2 linked regions of the Drosophila melanogaster genome follow. The protein of the gene in region 2 interacts with the protein of the main gene of each other region in a pairwise test. Each region holds a gene or a part of one and is shown on either strand. Other genes may lie near its edges. The genes, in order: CG17110 and CG32633.

Evidence for each region.
Region 1: the proteins of CG32633 (region 2) and CG17110 interact in a two-hybrid assay, tested with the Drosophila melanogaster proteins (one large-scale study listed by BioGRID).

The regions. Positions count from the first base shown.
Region 1 is NT_033777.3:23,089,815-23,095,848, reverse strand, and holds CG17110 (uncharacterized protein), read right to left. Parts: upstream 4,126-6,034; 5' UTR 4,093-4,125; intron 4,073-4,092; exon of another isoform or gene 3,987-4,072; 5' UTR 3,979-3,986; coding exon of another isoform or gene 3,888-3,978; intron 3,794-3,887; coding exon of another isoform or gene 3,302-3,793; intron 3,249-3,301; coding exon of another isoform or gene 2,831-3,248; intron 2,768-2,830; coding exon of another isoform or gene 2,563-2,767; 5' UTR 2,416-2,562; exon of another isoform or gene 2,390-2,415; intron 2,352-2,389; exon of another isoform or gene 2,349-2,351; 5' UTR 2,171-2,348; coding exon 2,074-2,170; intron 2,020-2,073; coding exon 1,528-2,019; intron 1,470-1,527; coding exon 1,055-1,469; intron 1,000-1,054; coding exon 795-999; 3' UTR 665-794; downstream 1-664. Other genes in the region: CG17109 (uncharacterized protein), read right to left, coding at 26-116; CG6726 (uncharacterized protein), read right to left, coding at 2,563-2,767, 2,831-3,248, 3,302-3,793, 3,888-3,978.
Region 2 is NC_004354.4:13,560,070-13,564,101, reverse strand, and holds CG32633 (uncharacterized protein), read right to left. Parts: upstream 2,432-4,032; 5' UTR 2,392-2,431; coding exon 2,385-2,391; intron 2,137-2,384; coding exon 1,286-2,136; 3' UTR 743-1,285; downstream 1-742.

The sequences.
Region 1 (6,034 bases), on a different chromosome or scaffold from region 2:
TGTGAATTCCTTGGGGAATCCTTACTGTAATCCACATTTGGCTGCACCGTAGCTATGCGCAAATATTCGCGGAATATTTTGATTTCCTCGTTGTCCTCCCACTTTTCGGTGCTCATTTTGTGGATATGTTTTCGCTGCCAGTCACCAAACTCGAATGTGCCGCAGTTGGCAAAAAATGAACTTATACAGAAATTTTTGTGTGTTGGGTGATTTTGGTTTTATGGCCTTGGCTTCGTATTATTATCAAATAATGAGTTCGTTATCAAACTCGGTTGTTATAGAAATGATAACAGCACATATTCTTGTACAAAATTCTACCAAAACAAATGTCTAATAGCAAACGGTAGCCAATTCGATAAAGTTCACATAACACCAATAAAACTCAACCACCGTCGTTTATGGTCTGCGAAAAAATGGGTTATTATAATTTGTATTTGGTTTGATAAGAAAATAGAATACATATTAATGTAATTATTGATAATTATGATGTATATATAAAATACAACCCCTTTACGTGAAGGTTACGTTAGTTTTTGAGAACGATATCAATAGTTGTGACGATTTATTGGATATTGAATGAGGGCAAAGTCCATGACAAAAACTCTCTTCTGAAACTCGTGTTATCAGTGTGTGATTTTCATTTGTTTAGAAACAGATATGATTTGTAGTAGTCACACCATTTAAACATTTAATTTTGGTCCTACACTCATCGAGCCAAAAACATTACTCATAAGCGATAAGACCAATTGTAGCATATTGATTTCCATTTATGAGTGGAACTTCGCTTGAACATTTTATGAATCAGCAATAGAGGGGATGAGCTTCCTGTACACCTGAATTCCGTGCAGATATGTGTCGGCCCGCAAATATTCATCATGATTGTGCAGCAGCACCGGGGTGTTGTTGATGGGTGAAAATCCCAGAGCGGGAATTCCCACTTGCCGGACGTAGAAGCTATCGGTGGCGCCGGGGAAAACTCGTGTATGGGTGATCAAACCTCTGGAAAATTTCAACAAATTATGAAGTGAAAACTACACAATCTTTGTTTACCTACAGTTCATCTAGTCCCTTTTTGAAGCCCAGCCAGTAGGGATTGGAGTCGTCTATCTTGGTCACCACCGAGGGGCACTTCAGCGTGAAATCCAGTTCCACTCCACCACCGACTTCGTTGCACCACTCGCGAATCTGATTCTCCATTGCATCGGCATTCTGGTTGATGGCTATGCGAATATCAAAAGTGGCTTCTAGTACGGGGGGAACCACATTGCTTTGGACGCCACCGTTGAGTTGGGTCAGGTTCAAAGTGGTCACATCACCGGACTGCAAGGAGGAGTCCTCGGCCAGTAGCTTGACCTGGGTTTCTCGGAACTTCATCAGCTTATCCATCACAAAGTGAAACTTTTCGCCAGCCGTGCTTTTGTGCAGCAGCGATCCATGACCTGAAGTGCCACTGAATTTAAATCGAAGTTCTGCAGGGGTATAAAATGAATCAGAATATATTGCTACTGATGCAAATGGAAGACTTACGCCACAATGTACGCTCGGCGTAAAATACAGGATAAGTGTCATCTTCACTGGCGATGCCCTCGTCCAGGCTAAAGCCCACATTCATGGCTTTGAAGTAATCACCCTTGACGAATTCAGCCATGCCCATGTGTCCGCCAGTTTCCTCGTCGGGCACAAAAGTCAAATATACGGTCCTTTTTGGCTGATAGCCACTGGCTTTGAGTGCACGGACCGCAGCCATGTACTGACATCCCACGGACTTCATGTCCTGGGCACCGCGTGCATAAATCCGGCCTTGGGCGTCTATGTGGGCACCAAACGGCTCATGGGTCCACTTTTCGGGAAACACGGGCACCACGTCCATGTGTGAGTTCAATATAATGGATTTCAGCTCGGGATGCTTGCCCAGCCACTTCATAATCACCACCGGTTTCGAAGGCACAACAGGATACACCACGTCCACGCGGAGATTAAGTTTGTTAGCCTGGCGTTTTAGGAACTCCACGCATGCAGCTGCAAGGGAAATAGGGATAACAAAATCCAAGGAGCGGAAAAACAAATCCTTACTGTAGTCCACGTCTGGATGCACCGAGGGAATGCGCAAATACTCCTGGAAAATGATTATTTCCTCGTCGTTCTTCCATTGTTCCGTGCAAGTGCACATTTTGAGTTGAATGCCCCGTGGTTCTAAAGGAACTGACTTGTAATCCACCGTGCTGTTTGGTTTGAAGTCTGAGTGTGGATTGACTTAATGGCATTATCAGTTGTTGACTTTAAGCTACTTGATTAGAAGAGCCCACAATTTGCGGATTTTCATCTTTGCGCTAAGAGCTTAATGTTATCTAGCAAAGCCATAATAGTAAACCATAAACTTATTCATTTTCATTTAAATTTCCTTTTTTTGCTCACCATTAATGGTATGGACTATGGACTGGCTTATTTATTCATACATTGTTTATTTAAATGGGTTTTTATAAGCCTGCTTGTTTAAAGTTATTACAATAAACATCGACAAGTAAGCATTAAATGCATTATTTCATAATTGAATTGAGTTCGCTAAGCATCAGCTACGGCAGGAATGAGCTTCTTGTAAACCTCAATGCCGTGCAAATAGGTATCGGCTTTCAGGAATTCATCGTGGTCGTGCAGCAGGATGGGGGTGTTGTTAATGGGCGAGAATCCTAGAGCTGGAATGCCTGCGTAGCGAATATAACGACTGTCCGTGGCGCCGGGGAAAACACGAACCCGTGTCTTGAGGCCACTGAAAGAAACAAGGAGAAAGGATATCAGAGCCATGCCTTTTGTCAGAGCTTCTCATCCTTACAGGTCATCGAGTGCTTTCTTAAAGGCCAGCCAGTAGGCATTCGACGAGTCAATCTTTGTTGGCTCCACAAAGGGGTTTTTCATCTCAAACTCCAGTTCAATGCCGCCGCCAGCCTCCTCGCACCAGTCGCGAATCTGCTTCTCAAAGGCAGGGATATCCACGGTGACGGCAATGCGGATATCAAATACAGCTTCCAGCAATGGGGGAACCACGTTGCTCTGGACTCCGCCCCTCAGTTGGGTGAGATTCACAGTGGTCACATCACCAATTTCGAGGGATGAGTCGTCAGCTAGTTTTTGCACTTGCGATTTGCGGAACTCCATCATTTTGCCTACCACATAGTTCAGCTTCTCGCCAGCAGTATTCGGGAGCAACAGTGATCCGTGACCAGCAGTTCCGCTGATCTTGAAACGAAGATCTGCAGGAAAACATGGCTAGCTTAAATTGTTTGTATGAGTCAATCCTACTCACGCCAAAGAGTCCGTTCAGCGTAGTACAGAGCGTAGGTTTCATCCGCACTAGAGATTCCCTCGTCGAAACTGAATCCCACATTGAGCTTCTTGAAGTAGTCGCTCTTTACCAGCTCCCGCATGCCCAGGTGGCCGCCAACCTCCTCGTCCGGAACATAAGTGAGATAGATCGTCCTCTTGGGTTGATAGCCACTGGCCTTGAGGGCACGCACAGCTCCCAGATATTGGGTGCCCACGCACTTCATGTCCTGCGATCCGCGCGCAAAGATGCGACCCTCTGCATCTAGATCCGCGCTGAATGGACCGTGTGTCCACTTCTCCTCAAAAACGGGCACTACATCCGTGTGCGAATTGAGAATGATGGAGGGCAGTTCCGGCTGGGAACCCTGCCATTTTAGCACCACCACGGGATTCTGCTCGTTCACCGGATAGATAACCTCCACGGGCAGGTCCAAGCTGGCAGCCTGGCGTTTCAAGAATTCCGTGCAAACGGCTATAAATAGCAGACACATTTTATGGCAAGGTCATAAAGATCAGGGTACTCTTATCGCAGCCTCATAAAGATATACATGCCCATTGGAACTCACTGTAATCCACATTTGGATGCACCGTTGGTATGCGAAGATATTCGCGAAAGATCTTAATCTCCTCGTTGTTCTCCCACTTGGCTGTACTCATTTTGCACTCTATAAAATGTAAATAATTAGCCGGCTGATAACAAATCAATTAAATTGTTTGCTGAAATCAGCTGATCGACACTTCACCACAGCGGAGAGCAGACACACAACACACCTTTCGCAACACTGGCTCGACGACGACTGTGCGATCGTGGAGAGAAGCGCGCGTTTAAATATCAGCGATAAGCGAGCGAAAGAGAGGGCATGATAATAAATCCGAGAAGGAACTAAACCTAATTTCTTATCATACGGTGCTGCCTATAAACTGTTTTATCTTACGCATTTGTTTACTTTTTAGATGGCTAATCTACTTTTCAGTACAAATGACTTGCAGTTAACAATTGCTTCCGTCATTAATAATATTCGTGTCTTCCCATTTCTATATGAGAAACTAATTTGATGAATTTAATATCCAGCACTCAAAAATTCAATTGATTACAAAAGAGACATCCCCTAATAGTAATTTCTATCTTGTACTGCATTATTTATAAATTAAACTGAATTTTGCAGCTCATAGCACAAGGAGTGGAACTCTATTTCTGTACCATCCCAATTGGTAGGGATTCCACTCCATGTATTGGTGAACATTCTTCCATCACTTTCCGGTACATATGAACCCACTTTAAGGCTCATTTACTTGGGATTCCCCCTGGCTGATGGATTTATTTGCCTTAAATGGAGGCGAAGGTGCTTCGCATTGCTTTGGGGGTAACAGGACTGCAGGATTGCTGGATTGATGGTGACCCCATTTGGCCCGCAGCCAAGATTTCCGATTACTGATGAATCGCATGCAATCGCATTCCAATTCCAGTTGATTTGTTAATCAAGATGCACTGCACACGTTCGCACCACACGCCCAGTGGGCTTCCGGGTAAACAAGTTGCCCCTCCTCGGGCCTTTCAGCCACTCGAATCCAATTCAAATTTCGCATATTAATAGTGTTCCTGCTGCACTTGCCGACTTTGCTGCACTGCGTCTGTTGTCCCAGTAGTGTGTCAAAAGTTAGTTTCGCATTTAGATTTCACGCTTGTTCCCATACAGAAAAAAAGGTGGTTGGGCCAAAAAAAATACACAAAACCAAAGCCCTCTGATTTGTGTCGCATACACACCCTGCTAGGCCAAAGTTGATATTGTTTTAGTGTGTGTACTCACAAAAAGTCATTAAAAGTTCATTAACAATGTTGCTGGGATTTTAATGGCGCACCAGCAGCAATAGCAGCAACTACAGGCTACACATGTCTGCATTTTAAATAACATCCAAGCCCCACATTCGTACAAACTCGTACTCTCCCCATTTACAGCGTCACATAAGTCAAATAAATACACAAGTTTCCTGCGCACAAACACTCGTTCAGCTGCACAATGGGCCAAAATGGCAAGTTTTTGGCATAATTCGAATGTAATGTCCCTAGAATAGAGTCTATAAGTCTGTACAGAGGCTAAAGTAGTTCATTCTTAGTCGAGTAAAACACGAATCTACTTATCTGATGCCAAATTATTCACTTTTCGCCCATGGTGGTGACTTGGGGGCGCGCCTGTTTGTTGTTTGCTGATGTTGCTGCTGAGCTGACATGTTGTCGCTGGGCAAATAAACTAAATGAAAATTTTGTATATTGTAACAATTATCCGGGCAACGCCGGAAACTGTTTGCGTTGAGCACCCAAAACCTGCAGAACTGCAGAGATGGAACCCCGAGGATATCGCCTAATCCGTTATGGGCGCATTACCTGGCCAAAAAAAGCAAAAAAAAAAAATAAAAGCGAGAGAACTGATATAATCCTCCTCTGCCATTTACCATTTACCATATCCCTCGGCCCAGAGCGTACATTTCCTTTTGTTCGAGCTTTTTTCAGAGCCCATGGCAAAGTTTCGGTAGTATGGAAATATGGAATGGGAATTGGGTTGCTGGCGGACTGACAGCTCAAGGACAATCCGGAGGGCATGCGTTTGCATCGCCTGGAGAGCTTCAATTTGTGTGTGTGTGTGTCAGGCATTAGGTGGAACGAAAAAAAGGAGCTCAGCTCTTGGCAAGCACTTTAGCAAACTGCACTCACAGT
Region 2 (4,032 bases):
AATGTTGCACGTTGCGTGTGCCCTGCTGCTGCTGCTTCTTCTTCTTTCGTTACTTGCCGCGCCGCACGCTCTTCCTCTTACACTTCCCAAAGCCCCTTACCAATTGACCAATGGCATCGGAATCGGAATCGTAAACAAATGCAGCGCGCTCGCACTCTTCGTCACTCGAATGCTTTCGTCACGTCACCGTGTTCTCGCTTCTTTTTGCAGCAAATATGCACTCGATTCGCACTTTTCGCGACGACAACCGATTTTGGAGCTGTTTGGGGGCAGAGTGTGACCGTCGGGCGCAGCGGGCTGCACGTCGACTGCGGCGTCGCTGAAATTACCTAAAATATCTGTATGGCGCAATGGTGTGGCGTGGTGTTTGGTTACTACGCTGGAACGGTCACACTGGAAAAGAAAGCTCAATGCATTTAGCCAAGACAGGAACCAGTCGAAAGCTTAAATCGCCAGCTGTCGGCGGTTAGGCAAACTGCTACGGCTCGACTTTCTCCAGCTCGTCATAGGTGGCGCCACGGTTAGTGCAGATAATCATCTCATAGGTGGCGCCAATGATAGTGTTAAGATTAAGGCCTTTTAGCAACTTTCCTATAAAATAAATTGCGAAAAAAAGTATTTCCATGGGAAACTTTGTGCTGTCAAATAAGTGCTTAAAACATGTATTGATTACAACGTGTGCACATTAATAAGCTATGAAATAAAACGCTACGCCCGCCACTAATGAATTGACTTTAACTTTATGAAACGTTTTAATAAACTTTTCAATATACAAAGAAAGTTACAAAGAGTTTCGATACCTATAACTTTTTACCTCGGCAGACGAAAGGTCGAGTTATAAAGCATCGAGTGCATATATGTACACATTCTGATAACTGCGATATCTGTCTGAGTTTTACGATGCAGTGTTTGTTAAGTCAGTGGGCGAAGGCAAATGGTTAATTATGTTACAAGTTGACGCAAATTTATGGCCAACTAATCAATTGATTGTTGCTAATTGATAACCGATGTGATAACATAAGGCCCGCATATAGAAGAAATTCCTCACATCCGCAATACCTCGAAATTTCTATGACAACCACTTTGAACTATTATCACCAAAACTCTATGAAAGGGGTACTTTTTTTTTAGAATTACTGGGTGCATTACCATAAATTTTATCAGTTACGTTGCTCGATGTCGATCGAATTAAACTTAAATTTATACTTTAATCTGTATACTTCTGTTGTGTGTGTAAAAAATAGATTTATTAAAAAAAAAATGGAATAAAGGCAAAGCTGTCCGTCTAGATCCTCACCAGAACCTCGTAATTCTCCAGACGCACCTCCTCGCCACCGAATGGGATGTAGATGCAGCCGTGCGAGGGATGGATCTTGCCCACACTCAAGCTGTCGCAGTAGATGGCCCTGCCGACGTAGAGGGGCTCCCCGTCGACATTCGGACCGGAGGACAGGGCTCCGGGAGCCACATTTCCGTGCGAGGCCGGAACCCAACGGAATCCGGATCCCGTCAGCACCTGGACGTCGGTGAGCTCGTGCTCCGCCTGGGCATAGGCGGCATAGGCTTTCCCCTTCGCCGGCACCACTTTGGCTGGCAGCAGATCACCATTGCGGAACACCCTGCCCACGTAGATGGTGTCCCCGTTGGAATCGTGCCCAGCAACCAGAGCTCCATCCGGAATATTTGTTGCGGTGGTGTCGATCCAACGTTCCGGCTGGCACAGCACCTCGTAGGCAAAGATCTTAACCTCATCGGAATCGTAGGGAATATACAGGCAGCCGTGGGATGGATGCACCTTGCCCATGGTTAAGCTGCCGGCATGATAACCCCTGCCCGCATACAAATACTCGCCGTCCACATTCCGACCAACTTTGACGGCGCCCGGCGGCACCTCCCCGTTCTCCGCCGACAGCCACTCGTAGTTGTAGCCGGAAAGCACCTCGTAGTTCTCCAGCTCGTGCTCCTCGCGCGCATACGCCACGTAGGCCTTGCCCTTGTTGGGAATCACCTTCGCCGGCAGCATGTCGTTGGAGAAGAAGGCACGGCCCACGTAGATGGTGTCCCCGTCCGAATCGTGACCAGCCACCACGGCATTCGGCGGCACGCTGCCGTTGCTGAAGTGCATCCATCTGTGGTCTGGGGGATAATGGAAAAATGAAACGATTATTTAACAGCACACCGAATGGTATAACTCTTTAATTCTGTTGTTCATGGCAAGTAAACTAGTTTATTTGGCTAGGCCAAGTTAGTTTCCAAAATTGAATTAATTTATTTTGAGTTTCAACTGATTAAGTACTTTAAAGATTGGTAACTGTTTTATATCATCCACCTAGTTAAATGTTTTCATTTTTTGTTATGGCATCTTGGCCTTACGACCTATTTACCTGCCATTTTCTTGTCCGTTCTTCAGCAGCTCTGACTTTCAACTGTGAAAGTGGTCGATTTGATGGTCTTTTTGTGTTTCCGCCTCGATGTCGCTGATAGGGCTTATCGGGAATATACCTACATGGCCAGATAAGAAGCCCGACCTCAAGTGACTCAGATCTTGGCAAACTCTTGTTGAATTTCTAATCGATTGGCCAATTGGAAGTAATGGGGTTTAACATCGAGAAACAGGCAAGTTTATTTTATTAACCCATATAGTGAAAGTAAATATTGCACTAGAAATGTTATAAATGTTAAGTAAATTTGATTTATATTTTATTTTTTTATCTCGTTATAATTTATACATTTAAAATTCTTTCGAGTCGTCAAGAATGTAATTGCATTCATAATATCATAATGGTTATTACTTTTTTTTTTGTTGCCGACAAACTTTCTCGCTTATTGTTTGTTACATATAGCATATACATATTTCATGGAGCTGTAGTTAAACACAAAAAGTTTATTCCGCTTTTTAACATACTAATAACAATAGCTTGCGCGTTTACAACTCGTGGTTAACCAGTTATCTCGTTCATTTGTTGTGCCACCTTTTCGAGTTGCCTTACATCCGTGCATGTATCTCCATTTAACCGCCCAATATTCGCCAATTTGAATGGGGGAATCGCTTGATCCTTTATTTATTCGCCACATTGCAAATTTCTTGCGCGCGCTTTTCCGCTTTCCCACTTTTCCGCATTTCCACTCGTCCAGTCGTCCACGCACTTCACTTATTTAGTGGTCGCTGTCTTTGCAGTTCGTTTTCGTTCGTTTTCCTTTTGTTTTCCCAGCATTGTTGCCTCTTTGAATGATTTTTCTTGTTTTGCCTTTCAAGTGGATCACTGTTTTTTGTTTGCATTTTCGCCCATTTACAACTATTTGAACAAGGGAAAACGTGGAAAGCTGGGCGCAAAAGTTAAGAGGGGTTGCTGAAATTGCTGTGCAACGCAACGTTTGCACCTGTTTACAGTGGCTTGTGAATTCCCAATGCTGGACTGGTGGTAGGGGCTGTGTGGGGAGTGTCATTATTAAGCTTTACGATTTTTCCACGATTTCCCAGCAGCTTTGCGCGCCCTGCTCTCGAGCAAACCAATTAACCAGAGATAAGTCTAACTTGACTTCAAACTGGGTAAACAAGCTGCATTCTCGAAATACGCAAAAATGTTGCAGATTATAATACTTTAAATCAACTTTGTTCGGTTTTCGTTGTGCATCTTCTTTTTGTGGGTATGATGTTTTTATGCCACTGCAGCCTAATGAATTTGTTTTCGCCCAGCCAGGCTCCATTTGGCTTTGTGCAACGTTTTAACCTCATTTTGGCCTCTTTATTTAAACCCCCCCCCCCCATTTCTCTGTTTGGCCAACTTAATTTCACCTAATACATTTTAATCATTTCCACAGTACCACGAACTAAATGCCCTCCTTCATTAACCCCTTGCTGCTCCAACCCATCTATCTGTCACGCTTTCCGCTCTCGATTCGCATCCGTTCTCCATGGGTCCATCTTTGCTGGTTATACTTTTCTGGTCGCTTTGCTTATCCTTGCCACACTGTGAAAAATAAAGTTGGCCACACCTGGTTCAAGATTAACATAGCTCCTTAGTTCTCATC